Linked DNA regions of Caenorhabditis elegans. The protein of the gene in region 1 purifies or fractionates together with the protein of each later gene. This does not show direct contact. Each region holds a gene or a part of one and is shown in the gene's direction. Other genes may lie near its edges.

Region 1 (7,667 bases):
AATCTATACAGATATTTTATTAAAATCCATTTTTAAATTCAACAAAAAAACTGTAAACTCATTCGTTAAAAGATTTTTTGAATCTTGCTATGAAATAATTTTTTTTCTTCTATGAATCAAAAACTAAAGTTTCAAAAACTGGAAATATGTCTCCCCAAAATAACATCTATTATTTGTGTGGTGTTTGGTCAATTGACAAAGAAAAACTATAGTAGAAAATATAGAAAACAACATTCTCTATTTGTGACTTGGGTGTTTATTGATTCGTTTTGAAAGTGTGAGTTAACCAAATTTTACAAGTTAACTTACTTGACATTGACATATATTCTTCAATTTTGAACAGTTTCCTAGCTAACTTTCAGCCTAAAAAGCTTTAAAATTTTCCGAATTCCATACTTTAAAAGTTATTAAAACAACGGAAGGACAAAAATTGTTTATTCTTCGCCCATCTGCGAGCGTGTATTCCTGCTTACGTTTGTCGATTTCTTGTTGGCAAGAGAGGAAGAGTGAGTAACTGGCAGCAGTGGTGAGAGGTCATACAACGTAACAGATACGGCAGAGAGACGGCAGATGGCACCGAGTAGGAAATAGTGTTTGAAAACAGGAGGGTACCGGGATGAGCCACTCAGCACTAGCAGAAGGACTATTACTGCATTGGGACTTATATTTGTTCACTTTTAATTGTAAGAATAGGCGAAAAAATACTAAACGTTTTTTTAAACCTAACTTTTTTATTCTTGAAATTTCGAAATTATAGTGATGATTTCAATTTTGAACTGTTGAATCATCACTACAAGTGAATCACTTTTTGTTTTATCAGCACCTCCGTTTTGCTCACTTTCTTCTTACTTCAACTTTACATTTCATTCAAATTTTCTCCTTATTTAATTTTTGCTATTTTTCAGAATAAAATAAAAATGCAGATGTTATATGACGACGGTGAGAATGTCGATTTTAACAAAAAGCTACAAAGGATGATGCCAACGCAAATTCAGGATATTGTGAGTTATTTTTTAAAATATGTAAAAAATAATTGTTGAGCAAGGTGAATGGAAATTAAATCTTAGGAAAAAAAAAGAATGTAAGAAAAATTACCAATTACTATAGAATAGGCTCAATTTTTATTAGTCAATTTAAGGAAGAAAAAAGCTCCGCTGAACATATAATACAATAACTTTTTTCTGAAATTTTTTTATTTATTAATTGAATGCCAGCTCAACATCTCAATTTTCTAAAGCTGTAATAAAGTTATTGAGTTTTTTTACAAAAACCAAAAGTTGAATAAAGTTCATGAAATAAACTTTTTTTTTGGCAATACCAATTTCGAATTTCCACAAAAAAAACTTCAAATCCAGCTTCATCATCCCATTCACGGTACCCAAATTCGTAACTTTCAGCCAGGCTTATAGAAATAAAAAAAACCAAGATGAGTATTGTCGTAGAATGCTTTAAAACTCATCAGTTATCCAAATTACAGATTGCCACATTCATTTTTCTGATACTTCTCCCGTGTGGAATCCTGCTCCATCTCCTCTACGTCCTTCCAACCTGGTATCCAGTTATGGGAGAAGCATGGGTCATTCGTGCAACGTGTTTTGGTGTACTGGTGTTCAACTTATATTCAAACTGGGTGTACATGATTAAGACGGGCCCAAATGGACATCATTCTGCTCTCCCAAATGTCATCAAACCCGGATACAAGTGAGTTTTAACTATTATATATAAGTATTAAGCTAGATTTTATAAATAATAAAAGCCAATTTTGAAAATTTCAGACACTGCCACAGTTGTCATTCCATGTCTCCACTAAGAGCTCATCACTGTCCAGGTAAGTACAGTGAAAATATACTTTTTTCAAATGACGAAAAAAACACTTTTTTTCAGTTTGTGACGTGTGCATCCTTCGCCGTGACCACCATTGTTCGTTCGGGGCAGTTTGCGTCGGGCATTTTAATCAGAGGTTTGTCTTATATGAATTTTACTAGCAATTGAAGAATGTTCTAAATTATATAATGAAAAATAAAAATAGTTGTAAAATTTCCACCGCAATTAGTCACTTTTCTGTCACTTTCAAAAGCAAAGCTTGACAGAAAATTATGGCGAGATGCTGAGTAAAGTCACGATACTATAATATTAGACCAACAGTATACATAATTAATATTACTGCAAATTAAAACGTTTATTCACAATATTCAGATACTTTGTCGCCGCAGTCATCAACCTCTTCATTATGACTCTGCCACTAGTCTCCTACTCATGGAGCCTTCTCAATATCAAAATGACGAACGAAATCGGCTTCGGAAACATTTGGCAAGTGGTCATTCCCCATCTTGCCTGGATCGCCGGATACATCTCAATCTACCAATTCCTCCACGTCCTTCTATTTGTCTTCACCTTCACCGTTTCGCTGTTCACTTTTTACCTGCTGACTGCTCAAGTTTTCTGCATTTATCAGGGACAGACAAGAATCGAGTTTTTGATGGTGAGCTATATGTACAATTGAAAATAATTTTTAAATGTTTTAAATTATTATAGCAGAAAATAATAGATCAAATGGTGACGATTTTTGTAATACTGTTTCACTTTATGGGGTTATTCAAGTAATGTCGGAAAATTAAAAAGTGTAGAACAATTACGTCACAACTGTATTCAAGTATACACCTTTTACCTTTTTTAAAAACATGTATTTAGATACATTTGTGACGTCACAAATGTATTTAAATACATTTTGATACATTACTTGAATAACCCCATTAGCTCGAATGTATCGAATCTAGATTTTACTGCTTTTAATATTTTGCTCAAACATCAAATTCGGCCGGCATCTCGAATGTCGCATAACATTTTTCTTTTCTTCCAATACAAAAATTTTTTCGATATCTTTCTGCCTAGAAGACTTCCGTTTGGTCTGTGAGGAAGTCACCTTAACTGCAACATAAAATCTCAAACAAATATAAATCCAATTTTCAGGACGTTCACGCATACCAGCTCGGACTCCTTGAAAACCTCCACCAATCGCTCGGCTCCCGGTGGCCATTCATTGCCATTTCTTGCTTCATCCCAAGTCCTCTGCCAACTGATGGACTCGGCTTTGTCACTCGCGAGATGTTCAATCTTCATACCAAAGATCTCTAAATTTCACAATTCTCAACTCGAATTTAACCACGTGTGCTCCATCTTTCTCCCGTTCTCCTTCCTACTACAAGTCCAAAAAGAAAGTGCTTTGAAATTGATTTGAATAAAAGTTTAAAAGTTTTTTTCAGCCTATGATTTTGTTAAATTCTTGTCCAGGTCTCCTCAATTTTTCGACGCCGATCGCCAATCTAAAATCAAAATGATAAGAGCATATTAATGAAACATAGAGAAAGATGACAAGACTGATAAGAAGTAAGAAACAATTTTTGATAAGAAGCTTACACTCGGTATTCTACTACCTCGGCAGTTTGCTCCACAGCACATTCGAGATGAATGGTAAGTCCTAAATTAATTATTTAAATTTTAAAATTTTAAAATTTCTAATTATTAACTTTTAATATTTCAGTGTTTATTGGCTTACTGCTAGCCACTGTTGTAGCTTCTCAAAGCTCGGAAGGACGCGATGAGAGCTACACTTACAAGCAACTTTGCATAGTGGACGATAAGCCTCAAGTTCTTGATGGTAAGTTTTATACTGAGGATTTTCTATTTAGTTGGTATAATTTGACAGGATTCGACTGCCGCAACCAAGTTGCTGTCGCCAGATGGCAAAACGCTGTGAACACAACTGGGTCAGTTTGAACAAGTCTAAAGTGTAGATTGTTTGAAGAGGAGACCAGTGATCAGAAAAATTGTCAGCTATCTAACCAAGATCTTATCAGTAATTTCTTTTTGGGTATTTGTATAGAACTTGCTTCATTAGGGGAGAGGGACTGATATGCGATAAAGTTTTAAATATTTTTAAAATTTAATTTTAAACTAAATGGTCTTCACAAAATTATAAACAAAATTAATGGCATAAATATACATAATCTGAATAGATTTTCATTTTTCAAATATTTAAAACTTTAGTACTAATGAGTTTTCCAACTTAACCTTCTCAATTTCTAGCTGGACTTTCCTGGAAGTCGAAACCAAGGAGAACTACTGCCCACAACTTCAAGCCTACTCTGCTGGATATCTTGAAGGACTACTTTCCAAGACAGTGCTCACCTACCATCTCAAGAATGCTCAGGAAGATTATTGCAAGAACTTCACTGGATATTGTTCCAGACTCTCAGACTTCCTCACTGAGAACCAAAAATGGATTCAAAGCAGTTTGGAGACCGTCGCCCCGGATGATCTCTACTGGGGAGCTGTCAACAGAACCTACCACCAAGTTTCTGGACTTATTGATGCCTATGAAGGACGCGAGTTCAAGCCAAGAATTACCTACGAGCTTCACCCGATTCTCTATTTGAACTTGAACGGAGATTTCTATGATTTGGAGAAGAAATTGAACAAGACCAGAGATCCAGCTTTTGAGCAAACCGGTGGAAAGTGCTCCGGATTGATCAAGGTCGCTCCAGGAAATGCAGATCTTTTCATCTCTCAAGTAACAATGTCAGGATTCCAAAATATGCTCAGAGTTATTAAGCTTTACAAGTTTGGATATGGTTTGTAGAAGAAGGTTTTTTCAAACAAGAAAAAAAATTGATTTTTCAGACCGTCAGTTCTACCCAGGATACGCTTCATCCTTCTCCTCGTACCCAGGTCTTTTGTACTCATCAGACGACTTTGCACTTCAAACTTCTGGATTGGCATGTTTACATCAAAATTTGCAATTCTTATCACCCCATTTCAGGCTGTCATCGAAACCACTATCAGTGTCTTCAACACTTCTCTTTTCGAGAATACAAAGCCAGTCGGCCAACTTCCAACATGGATCCGAGCTATTGTCTCCAACCAACTTGCTCGTGACGCTAGAGAATGGTGCAAACTCTACTCTTTGTACAACTCCGGAACCTACAATAACCAATGGGCAGTTCTTGACTACAAGAAGTTCAAGCCAAATCAGCCACTTCCAAAGAATGGACTTTTCTACGTCTTGGAACAAATGCCGTAAGTGTACCGGAAACAATAACACTGAACAGTATATTTTCAGTGGAAAGATTGTTTACTCCGATCTGACCTGGTTCGTCGAGAAGTACTCGTATTTCCCGTCCTACAACATTCCATTCTTCAAGGAGATCACTGAAATTTCCGGATTTATCGGACAAGCCGCTAAGATGGGAGACTGGTTCAAATGGGGAGCATCTCCCAGAGCAAAGATCTTTGAAAGAGATCATGGCAATGTTCACGACTTGGATTCGCTCACTGCTCTCATGAGATACAACGACTATAAGAATGATGAATTCTCCAAGTGCAAGTGCAACCCACCATACTCTGCTGAAGCTGGCATTTCTGCTCGTGGAGATTTGAATCCAGCTAATGGAACATACGAGTTCCCAGGACAAGGACACGTTAACCACGGAGCTCTTGATTACAAGGTATACAGTGTTGGAAAATGTCGAAGGCAATTCGTATTTTATAGGGTACAAATGTTGAGTTGATGAAGAAGTTGCAATTTGTCGCACAAGGAGGGCCAACATGGGGCAAGGTTCCATCTTTCAAGTGGTCTGAGTTTGACTTTGTAAGTTTTGAGAGTTTTAAGTATTGCATCAAGATTCAATAATCATCAAGATGTTTGGCCACCACATTTTTGCAAACAAATGGTGCAAACAATCCTAAGAGCTGTTTTTGTTTTTTTTTGTCAGAAATGACGTTTCTGTAATGGTTTTTTTTCCAGAAAGACAAGGTCAACCACGTCGGACACCCAGACGAATGGAAGTTCAACACATTGGTGCACAAATGGGAAACTGAAATCAATGCTTAAAATCGTCATATCACTCTTACATTAATTGATGAATTAACTCTCATTTGCCTTCATTTTTCACATAGTTGTTACTAAAGTATTGTTTGTTCTAATTCAAATACGTGACATTCCGATCAAAACCGAAACCGATTCACTGGAATTCCGCCCACGACGAGTCAGAACGCGCGAATACTCATTTGAAAGACTGCTCAATATAGGACAGACGTTTTTTTCTTGTCATATTTGTTTGTGCTCTCCCTCTTCTTGCTCAGACTCTGCCGACTCTTTAGATGTCATGTTAGTTGCCAACAAGTACGGTAGTGAAGAGAGACAAGTCATCACAAACCGAGATACGCAGGTTGTCCATATTGACATTTGATTCATTCGACTCTGGGAGATCCTTCTCCGCCCCTCTTAAAATAAAGCGACTGGCTATCATTTTGGTTTCGTATTCTACACAGAACTAAGGTAGCACCTGCACTTTTGTTCTATAGTTTGTTAATAATGAATAGACCTTCTGGTAAGTCGTAAACGTGAAGATAAACAAATTATGTTAATTTTTTCCGTTTAGTGACTATAAAAATATCAAAATTGGAGTACCGCTAAAATGGCCAAACATCATAGTAAAAGGTTTCAAAAAGTTTTGAAATGATATATTATGATATTTTATATTTTTAACACCGTAGAAACAGTTTTATTCGTCGTTTTTTACGTCGTCGTACTCCGCATTTGAAAATTAAAATGTGCTTCGCGTTTTTTGCGTGACCCATCCAAATATATTCCTTTTGTTCAAAAAACCATTTCATTTTACAAAAATAGTTTCATCATTTTTTGCAACTTTTTTTCTACACTTTTAAGGCTCAAACGTGGTTTTAAATTTTTTTGCTCACAGAACAAATTTGTCAGAACAAAATTTTTTATAGTTTGATTTTCGGAGCATTTGTTTCAAATTCAACAATACTAAACATACACAGTTTGATATTTGATGCTATTTGATTATTTAACAAGTGGTTAGATTGAGATTTATTTGCCTTTGATCAGATTAATCGTAAGTGATCTTTTACGCGAAAGAGTAAAAATCGTAATTTGTGTCGAATTGAAATTTAAAAAAAGGCAACAAAAATTCTTCTTTATTAAAAAAGATCTTGTTTGGACTTACTAGTATAGTCTCTATCGTGTCGCACCTTAAAGGTGGAGTACCGAAGTTTGAGACAAAATTTTAAGCGGGCAAAACTTTTTTGAGAAATTTTCAGAACGTCTCATTACGAAATTTGGTAGTTTTGGACCATTTTGGGTCTAAAAAAAGCAAGTCTCAAATTTCGGTATCCTACCTTTGAAATATTTTCTAAAAATTAGTGCTGCCGTCTCTGCTAGTACTGGATTTGAAAAGAGCCCGGAAATTAGTGTTGCCTGCAGTAATGGGAGAACTATTCTAGATGAATAAAATTAAATATAAAATTTTTTAAATTGATCACATTTGTGGTTATCCACAATTCCATTTTTTAACTTTCAAGTTTGAAATGAAGCCACTAATTGATTTTTTTAGTATTTATTAATTAAATTTTAAATAGTCAGAACTAGTTTCAGGTTATGACGTGGACACTGAAAAACGAACTGTTGGTCTTCGAAATTTAGAAGAACGGATTTTTGTATTACTTTTAGCGGTAAGTACCAAAGCACAACATGCGTCTTCTTTTATCGTTTCAACTAATTGTTCAGCTTGTCGGAGTCGCATTTGGAGGTTACGTCATTTACTTGATGTACAATAGCGTCACTATCAGTGAAAGATGATCAGACG
Region 2 (8,064 bases), on another chromosome or scaffold:
GGCCAAATCCTTATCTTAAGACGACTACGTATCAGCTGAGCAAGAAACGTATCTGAAAATTTCAGGATCATGTCCTGAAGAAGCTGAATGCCAACGGACCAGCTCCGCACATCCCAAACTTAAACTTATATGGAAAAAAGATGAATTTCTCCTATATGGTCATGACGTTATTGGGGAGAAATCTCCAAGACCTGGAATCAACGAATTTTGTTGTGAACAAAGGATTTTCACGTGGAACATGGAGCCGTGTTGGAATTCAATGGGTTTATGCATTGAAATATGTGCACTACAATGGATTCATCCATCGTAATGTGAATACACAAAACTTATTTTTGGGAAATGAGAAGGATAGTGAAAGAGCAAAAATCATTCACATCTTGGATTTTGGTCTTGGAAGACCTTTCGCTCGTTATGTAAGTTAAGCATTAAAACTTCATAGTATTTACAAATAATTTCAGCATGCCCGAGAGAATAAATGGATTGTACGTATAGCTCGTCATTCTGCAGAGTTTCGTGGGAGTTTTCGTTACGCGTCTCCGAATGTCCATCTCCGTAAAGAGCAAGGACGAGTTGACGATGTATGGTCACTGCCCTACGTCATCATTGAGCTCAACGGCGGAAAGGCACTCCCATGGCAAACCGATTATCGACGCGGACGTGTGGAGCAAATGAAGCTGAACTTGACGCCAAAGGATGTCATGTCTGATATGCCAGCTTGTATGGATAAATTGATGCCTCATTTGGCTTCCCTCAATTACTACCAAAGACCGGATGATCAGTGAGTTTTCTATATTTCCTATCCATTTATACGATTTAAATTTCAGCATGATCTTCAAGTGTTTCTGGCAAGTCATGGAGAACGAGAAGATCACTCCAAGTTCAAAGTTCGACTGGGAAAATGAGGAGCCTGATGTAAGAATTTCCTTTGAGTTCTCAGAATAATTCATTCTTCCAGATGTCTGTTCCACCTGCAGCTTGGGAGAATCCAGACGGACGCTACTTCCAATCCAATCCTCTTGAAATCAACGGCCCACCTACTCCAGCCGAAGTGGATTTTGTTCTTTAAAAGTGGGAAGAAGCTTGAAAACTAGAGATATATGAGATTTGAATAAAGGACTAGAAAATGATTTTGTTTTGCTAAATTAACAAAAACTATGAATCCTCAACTACAGTTGGCTCCTCCTAATAGTTCATCATCTTAGAGCTAATGAAGTTCTGGCGTCCAATATCTTTTGGCAGATTTCAAAAAAAAAAACGAACATAGATCTTTCGGATTCTAAGTTTAACTGGAAGAATTAACACATTTGTTCACTTCAAGATTCATCTGGTTTCATTGTTGACAACATGAACCTTCGAAATTGTTGGTTAAAGTTTAACATTAATTTTGTTTACAGCTCCAATAGTCTCTTATGGAAAACAAAATTTAATATTCTATCCTACAGTCCTTTCTTTTCAACTGTTATTTAACATTTATGAATCATGTTCCATTATGACCTAAGACATATTGTGGCCTATACAAATTGTGACCTATGACATATTATCATTACTTTCAAACAATAATCTTCAAGCGACCCGTGCTTCTCATGCTTGTGAAATGCTGAAATGCTTTTTTATTCAACTGTATGACATTTTTCAAACATGTGCAGAGAAACTTGAATGCTTTCATTTTCTCAAAAGATTCCCACGGCTGACGATTTTTTTCTTGAAGCCCGAAGCCTAATTGATATGATAAAAAAAACTTCAGATTTTCGTTACATTCGTCCTTTTTTTCTTGTTACTTCATTAAGCCAAGTGTTGACTTTGTAACTGCTTTCTCTGGAGTAGAGTTTCTAAAGGTTCGTAGTGTCTCGCCACCAAGCGCGCTCTGTTGAGCAAGGGCACCGCGCCAGTTTCGAAGTTTCTTTCTATTTTAAAAACATTTTTAGCTCTTTTTTTCGGATTTTCTCGCAGTTTGAGAATATTTTCCTGAATGTTTATCTTCCGTTTGAATTAAGATCGCGTTTCCTCTCAGAATTAAGTTATATCTGTCAATAAAAACAAATCTCAGCTGAAATGCTTGCACGTTTGTTTATTTTCTGCTGGTTTTAGGCAGGACTAACGATGAATCTTGTTGTTAACCACTCTGTTTATATTTGATAATTCTTAATTTTGTAGTTGATTTCTGCTGAAACTATTCCTGTCTCTGTCGTTCAATCTTTCCAAAGTTTTTCATTTATCATCATTTCCAAAGATCCCATCTCGACATGGAAATATTAAATGGTCAAGGGTTAAATCATGTTGTGCAATACTTGACTATTCTTCAGGACTCCAAAAAATTCTCATTATTTTGTGCTGGTTCTATTCGAGCACGTGCTTCTTCATCTTTTTGTTTTCGAAGATGTTTCGTTGAAGTATATTTGTGTGTGCAGTTCTCTGCATCTCCGCCTTTTTGACTCCTCCTCTGTCACTTTTCAACCATCGCTCAGTGTTCTCTTATCTATTTCGACCCTAACCATCGAGGCTGGCGTGTTTGTCCATTCTTTTCATATCTAATCTTTAGTTTTCTCTATTTTGTTTAGAGTTGAATTTTTGGAAGAAGATTAGTTAATCGATTTTGAATAATTTTGTCAGAAGTCTCTGCAATACTGATATTCACTTTTTGCCACAGTTTTTAGATATACTGATTCGATGTTTCCGAATTACCACTGGAACTAGTTTATTTTCTATTTAATTAAAATTTAAAATGTTCTATGAAGAAACGAGCTGCTGTGAACTCACAATATCTAACCTCATTCACCTGTAAATTTTTATTTTGCGTCCTCTTTCTAATTTCTTTAAAATCTTGCCTTATTCGGGTAAATCCTTTATAATTTTTATTTTCAGAATGCTCCGTTCAGCTCTCCGGGCAACAGTTCAGGCACGAAATGCCTCCGGTGTTCCACCAGGTCTTTCCAACATGAAACCACAATACACCGGCGTAAGTTTCTCAGAACGTTGTTTTAAAAAAATTGCAAAAAAGATAGGAATCACACAGGATAACCTTGAAAATGGAGACAATGTTGAGAGAGACTCTAATTTGAATTTTGAAAGAAAAAATTACGGAGCCCATTGGATCGCCAATTTCTAAAAACGTTGATTTTCAAGTAATTTGTGTTTAAAGAAAAAGAAAACAAAAGTGGAAATTGTGCATCGAATCTTATTGGTTTTTCTCAAAAATCCGTATTTTCCGCGAAATTCAAAGTTACAAGAACATCACATTACGTGCGCTTTGAAACCGCCGTTATCAGAAACTGCAACAGAAACCAAAAAGATGAATTTGAACCTTTTGATCTGTTTTTCTGCTGCAAAAATGTTCTCTTCTCATGTTTTCATTACATTATTTCAACGGAACCACGTGCCCTCAACGTTGTGCTCTGTTGTGTACCTAGTACACAGAGTACGATCAATTTAAAATGATGATAATAAAAAGAAAAAGAAGAGAGCTGATACTATCTCATAGGGAAAACGTGGTCGCCTGAGGTGGAGAACGAAATGAACAATGAACTCGGTCAACAGTGAGATAGGGCAATCAAAACTGAACGATGATCGGATTTGAGAAAATAAACTTAGAGGGCAGAATTAGGACGAAATGTGATACTTCTCCAAATCAGGGATTCAAATTTCAAAAAAGTTTATATCTAAATTTCCAGATCTTCATCAACAATGAATTTGTGCCAGCCAAGTCTGGAAAGACTTTTGAGACTATCAATCCAGCCAACGGAAAAGTTTTGGCTCAAGTCGCAGAAGGAGATAAAACAGATGTCAATATCGCTGTCAAGGTTTAAATCTAAATTCGAATTTTAAAGCAATCTTCAAACTTTTCTAGGCTGCTCAAAATGCATTCCGTATCGGCAGTGAGTGGAGACGAATGGATGCTTCTCAACGTGGAGTTCTTCTGAATAGACTAGCTGATTTAATGGAGAGAGATCGAGTTATTTTGGCATCTTTGGAATCTTTGGATAATGGAAAGCCATATGCAGTTGCTTACAATGCTGATCTGCCACTTTCTATCAAGACTCTTCGGTGAGTTCGAATAGCATAAATTGGAGAATTTTGCTGTAAAAAAATCCCAAAATAGTCTGTAATTAAGAAGAAAACTCAGAAAAAACGAAAAACTTTACTGCCAAATGAGCAAAGAGATCTACAAAAATAATTTCGAATTCTCAATTTTATGAGAGAAAAAAATCGAAAAACAAAAATTTTTGATTGTCCGGACAACCGTAAATCAAAAAAAACTGTTTAGAAAATTAACAGCCAAAAAATGCAATTTTTTGAATCAAATTTTGTTTGTATTGATGAGAAAAATTAAAATTTATTGTAAAAAAAGGAAAAATGGCTAACATTAAAAAATAACTTTATTACAGTTATTACGCCGGATGGGCTGACAAGAATCACGGAAAGACTATTCCAATCGAGGGTGACTACTTCACTTACACTCGTCACGAACCGGTGGGAGTCTGCGGACAGATTATTCCATGGAACTTCCCACTTCTTATGCAAGCTTGGAAACTTGGACCAGCGTTGGCTATGGGAAACACAGTCGTTATGAAGGTCGCCGAACAGACTCCACTTTCAGCCCTTCACGTGGCTGCTCTCACAAAAGAAGCTGGATTCCCAGATGGAGTGGTTAATATCATTCCAGGTCAGTTTTGTAAAAATTGTGAGTTTCTCAAATAAATAAATTCCAGGATACGGACATACTGCCGGACAAGCTATTTCGTCGCACATGGATGTTGACAAAGTCGCTTTTACTGGATCAACTGAAGTTGGAAGACTTGTTATGAAGGCTGCTGCAGAATCGAATGTCAAGAAGGTCACTTTGGAACTCGGAGGAAAATCACCAAACATCATTTTCGCTGACGCTGATCTCAATGATTCCGTTCATCAAGCCAACCACGGACTCTTCTTCAATCAAGGACAGTGCTGTTGTGCCGGATCCAGAACATTTGTCGAAGGAAAGATCTATGATGATTTCGTAGCTCGTTCCAAGGAATTGGCCGAGAAGGCTGTTATCGGAGATCCATTTGATTTGAAAACTACTCAAGGACCACAAGTTGACGGAAAGCAGGTTGAGACTATTTTAAAATATATCGCTGCTGGAAAGAAGGATGGAGCTCAATTGGTGACTGGAGGAGCCAAACACGGAGATCAAGGACACTTTGTGAAGCCAACTATCTTCGCTAATGTTAAGGATCAGATGACTATTGCTCAAGAAGAAATCTTTGGACCTGTTATGACTATCATTAGATTCGACACAATGGAAGAATTAGTTGAAAAGGCTAATAACACTATTTATGGATTGGCTGCTGGAGTTATGACTAAGGATATTGATAAGGCACTTCATATTGCCAACGCAACCAGAGCTGGATCTGTCTGGGTTAATTGTTACGATGTGTTCGATGCTGCTGCTCCATTCGGAGGATTCAAGCAGTCCGGTAAGCTAATTTATTATTAAAATTTCTCCATGCCAAAGTTAAAAAATACTTTTTCTTTTAGGAATCGGTCGCGAACTCGGAGAATATGGTCTTGAGGCATACACTGAAGTAAAGACTGTCACCATCAAGGTTCCACAGAAGAACTCATAAATTTCTTGAATTTTCGCTTTCCCTGTAATTTTTGTTCCTTTTGCTTTTTTTTTTGAAAAATGTTTATTGCTCTTAATATACGTGTTGTATTTATCTATTTTTCACATATATTGAAAAAGAATTCTGAAAGAAATAGACACCTACAGGACGACTCATAAAAGTCTCGACTTCTTTGTGAATTGATTGATTCAGGACAAACGAATTATTACTCTGTACATTAGAGGATCAGTCGTAAAATCTTCAAAAGGCAAAAATTTTACGAGCTTCCGGTAGGTTACGCGAAATTTTAAAAAAAATTTGGAACGCTTCACGAATTTGCGTGTCATCCTTGCGCAGGGGCCATGCTAATCTTCTCTGTATTGTTCCAATTTTAGTATATGTTCTCGGAAGAACGAGACAGCCAGGACCAGTTGTTGCTTATATAGTGGCCACCTGCAAGGCGGCAGACATCTCGTGGGTTCCGCAATTCTCCGTCAAGCAACTCAAAAAGGGCAAGAATCGAACCAAAACTTGATACTTATTTCCGTCAATAACTTTTTAGCCAATGAATCGATATTAATAATTTTTTATGTGTTCGTTCTACATGTCATGTTTTAACAGGTAACAAAGTTTCAGAAAATTTGAAGCATTTCTAACGGAGATAATAGGCAAATTAGACAGCATGTTGCAGCACAATTATTTCACACACCTTAAAGGCGCACGCCATTTCACCGGCTGGTCTCGCAGCGAAGACGGCCTCTCCGTTATTTTCTCTTGAGGAAACGTGCGTTTCTGTGGTTTTACTTCACAAACAGTGCTTTTATTGATTATTTTTGAGTTTCAAATGATTAAATTACAAATTATGAATTTTTTAACCACAATAGCATATAAACCGCAGCCGTAAATCGATATTGTTCGACTAGAAATTCCACTTTTTCGAATTCAAATCTGCAAGTGTTCAACCATGTCATTCAATCATTATTGTCGGGTTTAAATTTCTAAAATTCTTCATAGCAATTATTAGGTTTCTTAAGACGTAAGAAAAACCTCATTTGTTTTTATTTTGTGAGTTTGTTTTATTGCTTTTTCTGATTTAAAAATCACAATTTTGTACTTTTTCATCAAATCACCTGATTTTTCTCTTTTTTTCTCAATTTTCACGTAAACAAGTTTGTTCCCCCTCCTTCTCCCCCCGCGTTCCGTTTTTCTCACAAATCTCAACTTCATTTCAAATTTTAAAGGTATCCGACATGAACCGTCTCGCTCAACCAGCTACCCGCTCGGTCGTCAAGACCTTCCAACGCAAATCCTCAGGATCATTTTACGGATCCAACAATGTCGAAGGATTCAAAGAGTCATATGTCACTCCACTCAAGCAAGCTCACAGTAAGTGTTTTTTTTTAAAATAAATAGTTTCTATTTTGATGTTCAAAGATTAAAATATATTTTTCAGATGCTAGCGAGACCTGGAAGAAAATCTTCTTCATTGCTTCGATTCCATGCTTGGCTCTTACCATGTATGCCGCCTTCAAGGATCACAAAAAACACATGAGCCACGAACGCCCAGAGCACGTCGAGTACGCCTTCTTGAACGTTCGCAACAAGGTAAAATATTCGTTTTTATCTTGAAATCTGCCATAGTTTAAAATTTTACTTAAAAAATGTTATTTAGCTTTCATGTCTTCCTCATTAAAGAAGTTATCGGCAAACTGTTTAAAAATGTCATCTTTCTGGCATTTTTCAAACTAAAAAGGATGACTGTGAAGTTTAATAATATTCAAAACGAATTAAAAAAAAAACAGTCGCTTTTTTGGAATTTTAATTTCTACAATCAAGCTTTTAAATGATTATACAATTTTATAATTTGGCGTTTTCTCAGTAATTAAAAAAAACGATTGGTCTCAATAAATTCCCAAGATGGTTAAAAATTTCAAAAAAAGAGTAAGAAAAATTTTAGCTAAATCTCCAATTTAGCCAACATGTTCTAGTTGCAGCTGCTGGAATACAGTTTTATTGAATTATTGTTTTGGTCTATCAGACTAAAATTGACCTAAATCGACGGAATAACGTAAAATTAACAACCAAAACATGAAAAAAGGATGATAATAAAATAAATACTCATTTCCGACGTTTGCAACACAGAAAAGTTGACAAAATTAAAGATTTTAGCAAAAACTTTCCTACTTTTTTGCAATTTAGAATCGCCAACATTTTTTTCTTGAAAATCAATCAATCCATTCTGAAAATGCATTCCTAATAAATATTCAATTTCAGCCATTCCCATGGTCCGATGGAAATCACTCATTGTTCCACAACAAGGCGGAGCAATTTGTTCCAGGAGTTGGATTCGAGGCTGACCGTGAGAAGCACTAAACAATGCTGGACGATACAATTAATCATCATATTTAACGTCATCCATTTGTGTGTGTGCTTCGAGTTGTTTAGTTTAACAAAACGAGACATGTTTTGCGCAAGTGTAGTT
Region 3 (6,764 bases), 8.9 Mb from region 1:
TGGAGTTTCTTTCATATTTATCGCAAAAATCATTTTGCACTCAAATCGAGAGAAAAATTGAGAGAAACAAAGGACTCAAAATGTTTACGGATGTCCACGTGAAAGTCACACAAATGTTGAACAATTTGTAAATTTGTAACACAAAGTGAATTACACAAAATTCGGGCGACAATCTAAAAGTAATTTTCAAAAAACTCTATCTGAACACTACAGGTTAGTGTGACGTGTGCTAGGTTTTGTTTATCAGAATTGAATGTATTGAAGTTTGCTCACAAGAGGTAATCCAAAATGATAACACTATACTCACAGGCAGTTCAGTTGTAAACGTTTTTGTTTCCAGATGTTAGAAAAATTTTTTAAACCATCTTACAATTTACATTTTATTTTATCGACCGTGGATGCGCTATAATTTCCGACAAGCAATTCAACAAAAAATAAAAATTATACCTTAGTTAAAGATTATAGAAAACTGGTTGCTTTATCTGAAAATCATTTTCCTTTTATTTGGAACAATCGAAAAAAAAACTCAAAAATTGTCCTAATCTTTGAAAATGACGGGAAAAAACTCCAACACTTTGGTGGATTCCTTTCCAGAATATATCCGAAATTCTTCACACAATTTTGAGCGGTTTTCCAAACGTCCAAACGTTAATATAAAAACCATTTTTCATTAACTTTTTTCTATGTTTTATATTTTTTCTGTACTTTAAATTTATTTTTTTTTGCTATCCCAAATTCAATTTTTGAAGTAAGACACCATCTTGAATTTTAAGACTTCCAATATCCGTGTGCCACCAGCACTTTTGACCTACCAACCTGTGTTCTCCGGCCGCGCGCGGACAATATCGAACCTTTGAGAGTGACGAACCACAACAACAACCAAATTTTTTTTCATTTATCTTGTTGGCCTCAGTTTTTCCTTGCCTTTTTACAGTCATTAGTCGCTTTTTTTCCGTTCATCAAAAATTCTTTGAGATTTTTTTTTGCGAACACGGTGCTGCTAATAGAAAAGTTTAAAAAATTATATTATTTAAACAAATAATTTCACGACCGAAGTACGGCGATTTTCTTATATTTTTTTTCGAACGCAGTTTACTTACTGTTTACCAGTTCTCGAGCGCCGAGTTACACAAAAACGACTGAATCGTCGAACCGCATGTTTCTCACGTTGCCGCGGCCGCCCGAGTTTTCCTCTGCCACCCTACACTCTCTCGAATCTCCGTACTCTCTAACCTAGTTTCTCCAGTTCTTCTCACTTGTCGTCTTCCTTGCCAGTTCGTGGACTGGGATAAGATGAGCAGACGCGTCCATTCTTTCATAGGCGGTGCAGTCGGTCCATTTTGTTGTTTCACATCAGTTGTTTTTGATAGAGTCAATAAGTTTAACTACAATTTTAGCCTAGTTTGATGCCACGCCGTTGCTAAAGGCTAGAAATGTGGTTAGTACCCTGAATGGAGTGTCCTAGGGTATCTTTTTTGAATTTAAAAAAAGTGTCCAATCAGCCCATTCAAACACCATTGAACACTCAAATAATTGTCCTGGTAAAGATAATGATACCCACGTTTTATTTTATTTTTGTTTCTTCGGATAAGGAATCATGCGTTGTACGTACTCTAGTCTTCCCTGCTATCAATGTTTCGTTGCTTCATTCTAATCGGAACGTGATTTCCACGCCTACTTTCAAAACGTCTTTTAAGTTCCCACTCGAAACATTAATATTGAATATTCAGGTAATCTTTCTCCAATCAACAATGAGCGTTTCCAAGAAGCTTTTCTCTACCGCCGTGCGAGGAAAGTCGTGGTGGTCGCATGTTGAGATGGGACCACCAGATGCGATTCTTGGAGTCACCGAGGCCTTCAAAGCCGATTCAAACCCAAAGAAGATCAACCTTGGAGTCGGAGCTTACCGTGACGATCAAGGAAAGCCATTTGTTCTCCCATCGGTCAAGGAAGCTGAACGTCAAGTGATCGCTGCCAATCTTGATAAGGAGTACGCCGGAATTGTTGGTGAGTGTTATAAACTTATTGATCCATTTGAACTCTTTATTTGTTTGCAGGACTTCCCGAGTTCACCAAGCTCTCTGCTCAACTCGCTCTTGGAGAGAACTCTGATGTGATCAAGAACAAGAGAATCTTCACCACTCAGAGCATTTCTGGAACTGGAGCCCTTAGAATCGGATCTGAGTTCCTTTCTAAGTACGCCAAGACCAAGGTTATCTACCAGCCAACACCAACTTGGGGAAACCATGTTCCAATCTTCAAATTTGCCGGAGTCGATGTCAAGCAATACCGCTATTATGACAAGTCCACCTGTGGTTTTGATGAAACTGGAGCACTCGCTGACATTGCTCAAATCCCGGAAGGATCCACAATCTTGCTTCACGCTTGTGCTCACAACCCAACTGGAGTTGATCCATCCCGTGACCAGTGGAAGAAGATCTCCGACATTGTGAAGAAACGCAACTTGTTTGTCTTCTTCGATATGGCTTACCAAGGTTTCGCTTCCGGAGATGTTGACAATGACGCGTTCGCTGTTCGTTACTTTGTCGAGCAAGGACACAACATTGTTCTCTCTCAATCCTTTGCCAAGAACATGGGACTTTATGGTGAGTTTACATACTAATTTGTTAAATTTGAATTTTACAAGCTGGAGTTCAATACGAAATGTATTGTTTTTGTGCAATAGAGCGCAGTTTCTTCTTGGTGTTGGAAGTTAGGCCATGATAACGCGGATATCACTGGTGTCGCATTATCCTATCTTTTCTACCCTTTTGTAGCCCTAACCCTGAATACTGCATAATTTTTATAATTTATTCTGTTTAAGGTGAACGAGTCGGTGCTTTCTCCGTTGTTACCTCGGACGCTGATGAGGCTGCTCGTGTTGCTTCTCAAGTCAAGATCCTTATTCGCCCACTCTACTCCAACCCACCAGTCCATGGAGCTCGCATTGCTTCCCGCATCCTCGCGGATCCAGCTCTCAACAAGCAATGGCTCGGAGATGTCAAGCTCATGGCTGATCGTATCATCACCATGAGAACTACGCTCAAGGATTTGCTCGCCAAGGAGGGATCTACTCGTAATTGGGAGCACATTACCAACCAAATTGGAATGTTCTGCTTTACTGGAATCAACCCACAACAAGTTGAGAAGCTTATCAAGGAACACTCTGTCTACCTCACCAAGGACGGACGTATCTCGGTGGCGGGAATTTCATCGAACAATGTCGCTTACCTTGCCCACGCTCTCCACCAAGTCACCAAGTAAATCAGTGACAAATGCACTCTTCCCATTTTAACTTATTCTATCTGTCATAATAGAATAATTTTCTCGTTTTCGGTTTTCTTATTCTCCGGTTGTAGAATGGCAGTATGCTTTATCTCATTTTTATTTGTAGCCTGTTTTTTTTCTGAGAATGGGAACTTTTAATAAATTGGGTTTCGACCTTAATCTTTACTGGAGTTGGTTATTGAAAAATGATATGCACGATATTTGTTTAGCAATTACGTTAATTCAATTATTCGATTCTGAAACGTTGTGTTTCTAACTGTTTTGAAAGAAATATAATTGTCAGTTTTCTGAAAACGAAAAATTAAAAAAAATTAATATCACTTTCAAATTTAAATTTATTTAGTTGGAAGTGTGCTTACAATGAATGGTATAACACGCACATATTTTGAGTTCTCTGAAACCATAAGATTTTCGAGGAAAAAGACAAAGTATTTTTATAAAATCAAATTATGTTAAATACATTAGAGAGTTAAATACATAATTATTTAACAAAATTTTCAGAAACTTTTCGACTTCAGATAAACGCATCGGTGTGGTTTTCTGAAACATGGGCGTAGAGTTCTGGTATTTAATTCTGCAAATTCAAGTCACGGTCATGGGTCAAAATAAATTGGTTAGAAAATCTATTTTTTTTTCAAAAATTATTTCAGCTTGTTTTCAAAATGCCTTATAAAAACTGAAACCAAAGATTACAAAATCATACCTGGACAGAACTCAAACTAGCCGTGAATTTTCAGATGGTATTTAGCTCGTCGCAAATCAACAACTTACTTCCAGTCAACTGCTCAAATAATATATACGAAATTGGTTCCAGTAGATTTCAAGACGATAAGTGGGATAAGCTGAGAAAATGGGCAAGCCTCGCGCAATGAATTTTCAGAGTCCAGTACTTCCTACGTTAATGGATCCTCCATTATATCTCAACTCGAAGTTGTTAATGAGCGCATCTATATCGGCCGCCGAATCAAGCCGACAACCATCCAATGGCGGGCCTCTACCGATGACGCCAAGCAGCTTGGGCTGCATAATTAAATTAAAAAAAAAAAAAACAAAAAGCATAATTTGAGAAAACAGGTTCCCTCAGTAACAAGAAAATCTGTTTGATTCTATTTGATTCCTCCAGTTCTTGCTGCATTCAAAAGTCCCAAAAAGGCTTCGGTGAAACATTTCCGAATGGGCAAAAATTACGCTGGTCTATCAAGACTGTAAAACTTTAGACTGCAGCCTGAAGCTTGAGGCATATACATTAAAACCTGAGTTTGATGTTCTAAGACTATGAACATCTCAGGCGGTATTGGGGATTTATATTTGAGAGATAAGCTTGAAGACACAACTTGACGAAAACAAGTTCATTGCCATGTTTAGACATATTCAGTTGAACAACACCCAGCCTGCCGTGTGAAAATAAAAATTACCATGAATGATTTTTATAATACTATCTTGTTTCCGATGACGATATTAAAGAAAACGTGTTGATAATTTACAAATCACTCGTGCAAACTGTGCTCACAATTACCTGAACATTCACTTGTATTTTTTTGGAAGCATCAACTTTGGTCGTTTATGCAGTTTTACAATAATGAGCATAATAATAACCGAACTAATGATTTTTCATAAATAATTCATGGGTGAGCATGGGTGATCTACCAGATTTGAATAACTATACTTCAATTTAAAACGTTCTTCAACCGATCCCCTATTTTTGTAAATCGAGAGTATTTTTCACCGTTGGTCAGTTTGTTTGTTTTTGATGCGAATTGCTGCTCCTTTGTTTTCTTTTTCTTTACAGAAACTGCAGTCCCGTTTGAAATTCAAAATCCCCCATATTGTCTCATAGAACAATGGGAGTTTTTTTTTCTGCAAAATTTGTTATCTGACGTGTACCAAATATCCAAGCGTAAATCATCAATTCAATTGAATTCAGGATTACGAAAGTGATGTACAGTTATTTGAGCAGCTTCACTTATTTACTGCTCGGCTCATTGACTCATGTTTTTTGACGACACACACATCAATCGTTTGGAGCTGTGTGCACACATTGTGGCTCGGTTTTTCCATTGTCGGTTTATGAAGCAAAAACGAAAAACCGGCAAAATAATAATCAACAGGCTGCTGTACAAATTATGAAATCAACACTTTCCGAAAATAGATCTCATAATTTCTGAATTGTATAGTACATCGGAGATCCATTGCAAGCCCGGAATAGATATGATTCAAATTATAGATACATTTTTCTGTATGAGTCCCTATTTTTGTACACAGTTCTGACGCATTTTCAATTTGTACAGCACTGGAAATGAATCATGGTGTTTCGAAATTATGTATCTGAACTAATAACTTTTAAAAAAATAGCAATAGTTCGGCGTTACCAAAGATGCTCAACTAGTTTTCCCATTTTGAAAGAACTTAGAAAGACTTAAGTCTCAACTGGAAAACTGTTAAAAAAATAATAGAGTATGGAAAATGTATAGATCATACAAAAAATTGAAATCAAAATATCTATAAAGATTACTACAAAATTTAGTCGAAGGTTTCAAGTACTCAATTTTTCAATTGGTACATCATCCCGAATAACGATGTGGGAAAATTTGTAAATTAACAAAGTAGTTTAAAATTAATTTGAAATGTTTTTACAGACTTCGTATTGCTGAATCTTCCAAAAACTTTCGAACAGAAGCATATTGTGTCAATTTTAGCTATCAAAGTAGCAAATTGATACAATACATTTTATTCCTTAATTAATTATAGCATAAGTTGGAGAGTTATTTCAGAATCATTTTCATCTACTTTTATGACCGTAAAATACTCATATTCCGCTCATAAAACTTAATAAAATATTGCATACATTTTGGGCTAGATACATTTACATTGTCTTTTTATGTCGTTTGTATTCATTTTTCCACCAATGATAACCAACCTTTGTTACATTTAGTTTCAAATATCTCATTAAAAATGAAAAAAAGACATAAAAAATAAAATTTTCATATGGAATGTAAAGCTTTCTAATCCCTTTTTCATTTCAATCCGACTTCAAATTATTTTATTCAAGAAGGAATAAATTAAGTTTGTTTAAGTTTTTTAATAATCCCTCATTTCCGAAAATATTCACCTGTTCTTTGCTGCAACCCACAAAGGTTTTTCTCATTAAAACACGTGAGCCAGCCTGAAAAGTCAACACTTATTGAGTGAGTCATTGCGTGGGAGTGGTCGCCAAGTTTCTCATCGGTTGATTATATGTTTTTCTATTCAGATAATGATTGAAATCTGTTGATAATAAAAATGTATACTTACATTCTGAGAATTCATGTTCGAAAATTTATTTAAACATGTTATTAGTTGGTTGACTTTCTGTCTGATGCAGTGTTTTGTGTTTTCTTTTCGAACAAAAAAACCAAATGAACTTTATTATTCTCAAAATATGTTTTTCTGGAAACTACATTTAGAACGAAAACATTTCAGACTCCATCCCAAAGCTT
Region 4 (8,375 bases), on another chromosome or scaffold:
TACCTGTTAATTCAAAACCCTTCAATAAAATTGTTGATATAATTTTGTATTCAACCATGTCAGATAAATTATTCGCGTTAATCAAGAATATCTAGCAGATGATAAAACAGCAAGGTATACTTGTTATGTTAGAGATGACGGATCGTAATGAGTTGATCGGTGTTGCAATTCGAGTAGTGGCGGCGGCTGCAGTTTCATTTCTATCAGTGCGCTATCTAGTCAAGTACTTGGATCCAAATTATAGTGTGAATGAAGAAAGCAAAAAGAAGGTTTGTAGATTTACAACACTAATTTTGTTTTTTTAATATACAGGTGGCACAGCTGTTTCATGAACTTGGTATCGATCGTCAAATAGAACTCTCAGAGCACGAAATTAGAATCGCCACGCAGTTTGTTGGCGGAGAAGACGTTGGAGCAGATTGGGATGAGATCGGTAGAACAGAAAATTGTTTCGCAAAAAAAAAGAAAAATTTTACAGGTGGCTGCGAAGAACTTGTTGCTGAACTAAAGGATCGCATTATTTTACCCTTGAGATTCGCATCGCAAAGTGGAAGTCATTTATTGTCTCCTCCACGTGGAATTCTTCTTTATGGACCACCCGGATGTGGAAAAACTCTTTTAGCGAAAGCAGTTGCAAGGGCAGCTGGATGCCGGTTAGTTATTCATAAATGCAGAATTGACCTGTTTTAAATATTGCTACCTTTCAGATTTATCAATCTTCAAGTGTCAAACCTAACTGATAAATGGTACGGAGAGTCTCAAAAACTTGCGGCCGCTGTTTTCTCTGTTGCTCAAAAGTTTCAACCAACAATTATTTTCATTGATGAAATTGATTCGTTCCTCCGAGACAGACAATCTCATGATCACGAATCAACAGCAATGATGAAGGCACAATTCATGACATTATGGGATGGATTTTCTAGTTCTGGAGATCAAATCATTGTTATGGGAGCTACAAATCGTCCACGAGACGTTGATGCTGCTATTCTACGCAGAATGACTGCAAGATTCCAAGTTCCAGTACCAAATGCCAAGCAAAGAAGTCAGATTCTTAATGTGATTCTCAGGAATGAAAAGATCAATAATACTGTAAATCTCGGAGAAATCGCACAGGCAGCAGAAGGTCTTAGTGGAAGTGATTTGAAAGAGGTTCGTGCTTTTTTTCTTTTTAAAATTTTAATCAAATATATTACATCCCCGAAATGGTCGTAATATTATTAGTTCGCTTTGTGGCTATATATGTCACATATATTCTAGTGGAATTCGGTAACGAAATATTTAATATAAATCTGTTCAACATGAAAAATTGTAGACAATAATATATCTTGGATTTCCTATAAAATCCAATACATTTTTAACATGAATTAATAGTGAAACAGCAAATAAGTATATGTGTTTTTATTGAAAACTACGAAAACTCGATTAAACTTTTGCAACAACGAGAGTTTGAAATTACAGTACTCTTTAAAGGTACACACCTTTTCATAGTTAACATAAAATTTCGTGTCGAGAATATTTGGGGCAGAAATCGCAAAGTTTTGCGAGCTTCATGAGAATAAATTGCTGTTTCACAATTAATTCATGTTTCTAATGTGAAAAATGCATTGGATTTTAAAGGAAAAATGTAATTTGTAATATGATAAAATGTAATATAATTGTCTACAGTAACCTTAAAGGAAAAAAAAATACAAATAAAAACATTAGTGAAGAGAATTGTATATATTTAATACAAGTTGTTCTAATAGTGAGCTTGAAAAAACTTACAATTTTGAATTTAATTTTAAAAAAACTCATTTAAATTATTTCAACTTCTTCCAAAATCATCTAAAAATATTTAGAAGTTAGATACACAATAATTAGCTTAAAAAATAATACGCGTTCGAAAATTTTAAGTTTTTATGTTACAGGAAAATGAAACGCCAATAATCGTGTTGTTATGTAATTTTTCAGGTTTGTCGTCTTGCTCTTCTCGCTCGAGCAAAAGCTACTGTAGCTTCTGGAGGTTCCGTAAATCAACTTCTTCCATTGGAACAGTCCGATTTTGAGTCAGCAGTGCATAAATATATGAGAGCCGCACATTTACTTGTTGAAGAAACACTTGATTAGTCTTAAAAGTTCAAGAAACGAATGTTTTATTTCATGTAAACTTCTATTTCTTTTTCTCTAAAAGTAGTCCATTCGTTCTTGTAGGTCTCAATTTATTATACCTTTTTGTAGTATAAAGCTAAAGAAATGTAACGGTGCTTTGACTTAAAATCGAAAATCTTTTTTTTTATTCCCCGGAGCTTCTAGAACAGATTCAAAAACTAATATTTCTGATTCCTGATTTTTTACTTCCCTATTCTTATGTATTGCATTGATTTAATAAGTACGTTTAGATTACCGGTTAGATTGTATTCTCTTTTTCTCTTTTCTTTCACTTGTCGATATCTCCAGAATCTGAAGAAACAATAAATCGATCACGTGACCCCATCTCTTTGTGTCAGTTGTCCTTCCGATTACACCCTTCGTGCTCTGCGAGCCTTTTTCTTTGCACAACGTGGAGCAAGTTTACACCATTCACAGGCTCAATATAAACGTCTTCCATTGGCTTCCAATTTTTCAGTTTACTTCTTCAAACAATTTTCACTAGAAAACGCATTTATTTCCTTCACTAAAAAACATAAGCTCCTCCCCCTGCCTTTCTCTGCGTCTCGTTTGACGCCTAAAAAGAGAAAACGGGAGAAAAAATTATTCGGTTTTCTCCTGCCACTTCAAATTTTACTCTTCTTTCTCTTTGTTTTTTTCAAATCGATTTTCGAATAATTTGAATAGTTTTTTTCAGAAGGAAGAATGCTTCCCAGACTGGCAAAGTCATCTTTAATCCAACAGGGTAAACCAATTAATATATTTTGGATTCAACTGGGATTTATTTAGGAAATAATTTAACATATAATTTTTGATTTTGAAAAACCTAACCTGCAGCTTTTTAGTTCTTCTAGATACATTCATTTTCAACCCTTTTTACTTGCATCTTTGACCTAAAACACATTGAAAAAGAAACAAACAACACTTTTTTGATTCTCTTATCAGTTTATCAGTATCACAAACATTAACGAAGGCAATTGATTTTTCTCGAGTAAAACCGAATAGGGAAAAGATCAGAAAAACTGAACGATAAAATCGAAGTTTTGGTAAATTGGCAGGTATTTTGATATTCACCACATGTTTCAATTTGGAAGATTAAAAAAACAAAATTTTCTGAAATTTTAAAAAAATACTAAAACACTTCAACACCATGAGAATGTTTCCAAAAAATGCTCTGACTCAATTGAAACGTTTATTTTAGTGCGTGGAGTTTCGGCGATTGCAAATGCCGAGCCATCTGGACCTAGTATTTCAACGAGCATTCCTGGACCAAAGTCAAAGGCGTTGAAACAGGAAATGGATAAAGTTCATGTAAGAATTGAGATATCGAAAGTTAAATGGTTTTTTTAAACATCATGGACCTTAAAATACCTTCAAATTGTGATAACTTATTTTTTATATCTATTCTAAATCTTATACGCTCATTATGTATTGGTTTTAGTTTTTGACAATTATTCAGTGGCGAAATCGCTTGAAATTACTTTTCAAACAAAAACTTTGGCTGAACTTTCTGACAACTTGCTCAACAGAAGCTCAACATTGTCAATTTGATTCTAAATTATTAAGAATTATAAGATAGATAAATTATAATTTTAGATTACAAAACATTATTAGCTATTTAATGGTCACACAATTGCGAAGAATTTCGAGCCATTCAGTTCAATTTTCAAATCAAAAACCAACATCTCAACTCCGTAATTACATGAACATCACATTCTTACCCTTATCACAGAACGAATGAAATTCGTCTCAGAAATATTACACTTTCTCTGGTCAACTGACAACTGACATTCAGGAGTTTTGATTATTTGATTTTAGTTTTTTTAATTTCAAATCTTCAATTTCATTGATAATACAAAAAATAAAATAATATTTCAAGGAAATTTAAATTTTATACATATTGTCAAAAATACTGTAGTTATGAAACATATGAATCATTCCAAATGCAATATGAGATTTCAAAATTTTATAAAAATTAAAAAAATTTTTTTTCAGCAAACTACATCCGTTCGTTTCCATGTCGACTACGAGAAATCATTCGGAAATTACGTTGTAGATGCTGATGGTTAGTTTTTATTTTCAGTTTACACACCAGGATTTAATTTAGGAAATGCACTTCTCGATGTCTATACTCAAATATCATCTCTTCCTTTGGGATACAATCATCCAGATTTGGTTAAGGTCGCTTCGCAGCCACATTTGATTGTGAGTTTTTATAAATTGATTTCAAAATCAATTTTTGAACCTCTTACAATCAATTGGAGCATTCGAACTTAGCCTTCCATGTACGCATGAAAATGTTTTACGCCGCATCCGCATTCAGGCACAAATACAGAAATTAGGCGGTAGGCAGTCAGGCAGGCAGGAGGAAGGCACATAATGACCATATTTTCACATTAACCGTACACCTAGAAACCAGTAAAAAATTAAATATTAAGTGATTTGCCTGTCTGTAATATTTGGATAAAACTAAAGAAAACAAGATACTTACTGAAAAGTTGAGAAATGTATTAGAAAATAAATTTTCAGACATCTCTTGTTTCTCGTCCAGCTCTTGGATCCTTCCCACGTACCGACTTTGCTGATGGAATTTCTCATGCTCTTACATCAATTGCTCCAAAAGGATTGAAGGCAGTTCAAACAATGCTTTGCGGTACATCGGCCAACGAGAATGCAATCAAAACTGCATTTATCTGGTATCAAGCTCAGAGAAGAGGAGGTCTTGGACCAGATGCTCTTCATTTGGAAAGCTGCATGAATCAACAGAAACCAGGAACTCCAAATCTTTCAGTTATGGGATTTGAAGGAGCTTTCCATGGAAGATCTTTGTGCATGTTGTCGGTTACCAGAAGTAAGCCAATTCATAAGGTATTTCAAAGTTTTATTTCGAAACAATTCTAATTAATTATTTTCAGGTTGATATTCCAGCATTTGACTGGCCAATTGCCAAGTTCCCCCGTTATAAGTATCCACTTGACCAGAATGTTGCATACAATAAGAAGCAAGATCAGGAGTGTCTTGCTGACGTTGAAGCGAAGATTTCCGAATGGAAACGTCGTGATAATGATGTAGCTGCAATTATTGTTGAACCAATTCAAGCAGAAGGTGGAGATCATTATGGAAGTCCAGCATTCTTCCAAGGCCTCCGTGATATTACTTCTAAACATGGAATTGTATTCATTGTTGATGAAGTTCAAACTGGAGGTGGAGCAACTGGAGATATCTGGGCTCATGATCACTGGAACTTGAGCTCTCCACCAGATATGGTCACATTCTCAAAGAAACTTTTGACAGGAGGATACTTCTACGGAGAACATCTCCGAGTTAAGGAGGCTTACCGTATTTACAACACATGGATGGGAGATCCGACCAAGCTTCTTCTTTTGGAAAAGGCTGTTGAGGTTATTAAGAGAGATGGATTGATTGAGCAGAGCAGAGAAGTTGGAGCTGAATTCCAAAAGAGACTTGGAGAACTTCAAGCATCGTCTGGAGGAAAGTTGGATCAAGCCAGAGGAAGAGGAACTTTTGCCGCCGTTGACTTCCCATCTGGATCTTTGAGAGACAAATTTGTTGACTTGGTAAGCAGAATTAATAGTGATAAATGTCAAATTCAGCCATCTTACATTTATATATTAAATTTCTTAAACTTCAATTTAATTTTAGGCCATCAGCAACGGACTTCACTGTGGAGGATGTGGAGACCGTTCACTTCGTTTCCGTCCATCACTCGTCTACACCAAAAAACATTTGGATCTGACTTTCGATCTTCTCGACAAGACTTTGAAGGGATTGTAATCATTTTTTCTTTTGTTTTCTCTTTAAAGCTGTATCCATTTTATTTGCTTCGCTGACCATCTAGCTTGTTATTATTTCAAAATATAATTAATAAATTAAATATTCATTTATAATGACACCGGAAATTGATTTTTTATTGTTTCTTCTCGGGAAGTTATACTTCGGATCGATTCCAATTGAATTTATAAATTTTTAGACACGTGTTCCTCCGACTAGCTGTGACATCTTTTCATAGATTATCTCGATTTCTTGCTGAAAACAAAATAATTTGGTATTGGAAAATGAGATAATTCGATTTTCACCTTCGAGGCAAAAATACCACACTGAATTTCGGTATACGATGAAAGAACCTGTACCACGTCAACACAACCCGTTGTCTCCAGTTGACACGCTAAAGTTGTGGCTGCACAAATACTGAATGCAAGTGCTGTATCATCTGAATATTCATCAATTTTGTTATAAATATAATATAATTAAAGTTTAAAGTATTTACAGATCATAGTATGTACGTTTCTACGCACACTACCATTTTTAAACTAGAACCAAAGGGGTTTTTATAAACTCCAAATTTGTGTTACAAAATTTTTTTGAACCAAAAATATTGATAGATATCAAGCTATACTCACCATTAAACAAAATAGAAAGTGATAATGTAGAAGTACTATCTGTTGGTGATGGAACACTTGGTGGGTATTTATGAGCCAGAATAAGCAATGGAGCATCATGATAAGTGATCCTCTGTTTTTGAACATTTTCAATTTCCCTCCAAAAATCAGTATCCAAATCTGCTCTTGACACATTCACAATTCGAACACACAGTTGTTGATCATCTTTTTGGAGCAGGACAAAGTTATCTCCGTGTTGAAGTTGAATTTCACCATCGTATATACAACTGGGAAGTTTTCTCCAAAACGAGTCTCGTTGGTTTAGAATCACAATTGTTTGAACTTTTTGTTGCCATGTTAATCTCCAAAGATCTTCACATTCATTACCCCATGATCCGACCATGAATTCATCAGATCTATGGTATCCTGGGAGTGTTATGACGTCTGATTCAATTAGACATCGAGGTTGATGTTTGCAATCACAGATATCCTTGAATAAATACTAAAGTTGAGAGGAGTTAGAAAAATATCTAATACAAACCTCAAATTGCAACTGCATTCTTGTTTTTCCGTTCAAATTTTCTTCGGATAAGTAATGCAGGTATCTCATAAAAAGGTCTGAATGAACTCGTGTGATTCCGTGACGAATCAATTGCCGGATAGCTTCGTGGCAGAAAATATATTGCTCCTGAAATCAGAAGTTTTGATACTAAGATTTCAAAGAAAGTAGATATTCTTACCAAAGTCTGCACCAATTTCGCTCTTTGTCTTCTCATATGTGTCAAATGTCCTTGAACATTGAGTCTTCGGAAACTAATCAAATGCCTTCTCATGCTATCAACAAGGATATATGAACCAGATCTACCAACTCCGGCGCTGAAAATATAAAATTAAAACTAAAATTCTCGGATTTCAGAATAACATACCTGCAATGAACTACAACGGGTCCGGTGGAATGAATATCGGAAGTGTAATGAACAAAGCTTAAAAGTGGGAAAACAGACGAAGGAACTCCATGATCCGGCCATCCCATAAAGTGAAGCTGATGGACTTTCCGTTCAACAGCTGGCACTGCTTTTGCAATTTTCAAATCCAATATTCGATGAGAAAAGTGGGCATTTGTAGATTCTGATACCAAAGTGACCTGATAATTTCCAAAAGTTTGCGGAGAATCCTGTTGTGATGGCCAGTATTGATCGCATTTTCTCTGAAATTTGAGATGTTTAAAAGTCAAAATTTATATAAGTTACCTTTCCATCTTCAACCATATTTGTGATGCATACAATAATATTGCTCCGTTCTTGCCAAATCATACTCCAGAAATCGGAAAATGTGGATGGAAGTGGAGCTTGTGTTGCGATGTAGGCATTACGTTCATTGCATGACTGGAATAATTAACTTGAAAGTTTTTGACTGAAAATGAAGTTTCAAAGGAATTTGGAAATACTCGAAGACAAAGTTTTCTTGCTTTTTGCAAACGAACTTTTTTATTTCAAAAACTTACATCAACATAGTTGGCATTGATATAATCATTTCCAGTTGGAGAATTGAGACGTATCCTGGTCGCTTCTATGGCCCCAATATTATTGTACCTATTCTTCTGTGAATTCTCATCAGAAGAGGAATTCGACTCTCCAGAATCCACTGAATCTATTCCAGATGTTTGAGATTCGAGAATTTGAAACTGTGTTTTGAACTTTAATGAATCGTTTCTATTGAGATCTTCGACGTATCCATAGAACAATTCAACCGGTATATCTTCTTGACCAGCGGAATCTGAATTTAATTCCATGGGTTTTTTTAGAAGTATTAAAATTTCCGGCTTACCGTAAACTAAAGGACTAATTT

The links.
Region 2: the proteins of F09B12.3 (region 1) and alh-1 fractionate together in Caenorhabditis elegans (co-fractionation; one large-scale study listed by BioGRID). This does not show direct contact.
Region 3: the proteins of F09B12.3 (region 1) and got-2.2 fractionate together in Caenorhabditis elegans (co-fractionation; one large-scale study listed by BioGRID). This does not show direct contact.
Region 4: the proteins of F09B12.3 (region 1) and gta-1 fractionate together in Caenorhabditis elegans (co-fractionation; one large-scale study listed by BioGRID). This does not show direct contact.

The regions. Positions count from the first base shown.
Region 1 is NC_003284.9:15,093,656-15,101,322, reverse strand, and holds F09B12.3 (Putative phospholipase B-like 2), read left to right. Parts: upstream 1-3,368; coding exon 3,369-3,471; intron 3,472-3,541; coding exon 3,542-3,658; intron 3,659-3,706; coding exon 3,707-3,767; intron 3,768-4,086; coding exon 4,087-4,631; intron 4,632-4,680; coding exon 4,681-4,775; intron 4,776-4,819; coding exon 4,820-5,076; intron 5,077-5,119; coding exon 5,120-5,504; intron 5,505-5,548; coding exon 5,549-5,647; intron 5,648-5,803; coding exon 5,804-5,890; 3' UTR 5,891-5,980; downstream 5,981-7,667. Other genes in the region: dhhc-1 (Palmitoyltransferase), read left to right, coding at 918-1,001, 1,478-1,701, 1,776-1,828, 1,885-1,960, 2,197-2,482, 2,971-3,135; F09B12.7 (Movement protein), read left to right, coding at 6,374-6,389, 7,457-7,533, 7,589-7,660. UniProt on the Caenorhabditis elegans protein: Putative phospholipase.
Region 2 is NC_003281.10:5,074,903-5,082,966, forward strand, and holds alh-1 (Aldehyde dehydrogenase domain-containing protein), read left to right. Parts: upstream 1-2,862; 5' UTR 2,863-2,863; coding exon 2,864-2,956; intron 2,957-3,668; coding exon 3,669-3,797; exon of another isoform or gene 3,798-3,844; coding exon 3,845-4,041; intron 4,042-4,382; coding exon 4,383-4,660; intron 4,661-4,706; coding exon 4,707-5,453; intron 5,454-5,514; coding exon 5,515-5,603; 3' UTR 5,604-5,759; downstream 5,760-8,064. Other genes in the region: Inactive tau-tubulin kinase ttbk-6, read left to right, coding at 66-413, 459-778, 825-912, 956-1,066; cox-6A (Cytochrome c oxidase subunit 6A, mitochondrial), read left to right, coding at 6,833-6,968, 7,036-7,187, 7,857-7,955.
Region 3 is NC_003284.9:6,239,253-6,246,016, forward strand, and holds got-2.2 (Aspartate aminotransferase), read left to right. Parts: upstream 1-1,730; 5' UTR 1,731-1,751; coding exon 1,752-2,007; intron 2,008-2,057; coding exon 2,058-2,606; intron 2,607-2,824; coding exon 2,825-3,264; 3' UTR 3,265-3,457; downstream 3,458-6,764.
Region 4 is NC_003282.8:10,177,836-10,186,210, forward strand, and holds gta-1 (putative 4-aminobutyrate aminotransferase, mitochondrial), read left to right. Parts: upstream 1-2,824; 5' UTR 2,825-2,832; coding exon 2,833-2,872; intron 2,873-3,328; coding exon 3,329-3,438; intron 3,439-4,122; coding exon 4,123-4,192; intron 4,193-4,234; coding exon 4,235-4,332; intron 4,333-4,656; coding exon 4,657-4,995; intron 4,996-5,042; coding exon 5,043-5,705; intron 5,706-5,790; coding exon 5,791-5,922; 3' UTR 5,923-6,104; downstream 6,105-8,375. Other genes in the region: mspn-1 (Mitochondrial sorting homolog), read left to right, coding at 135-269, 313-433, 479-653, 708-1,149, 1,951-2,106; ptrg-1 (Tyrosine-protein phosphatase 4), read right to left, coding at 6,115-6,174, 6,225-6,358, 6,549-7,017, 7,069-7,215, 7,268-7,403, 7,454-7,734, 7,778-7,912, 8,032-8,303 and 1 more.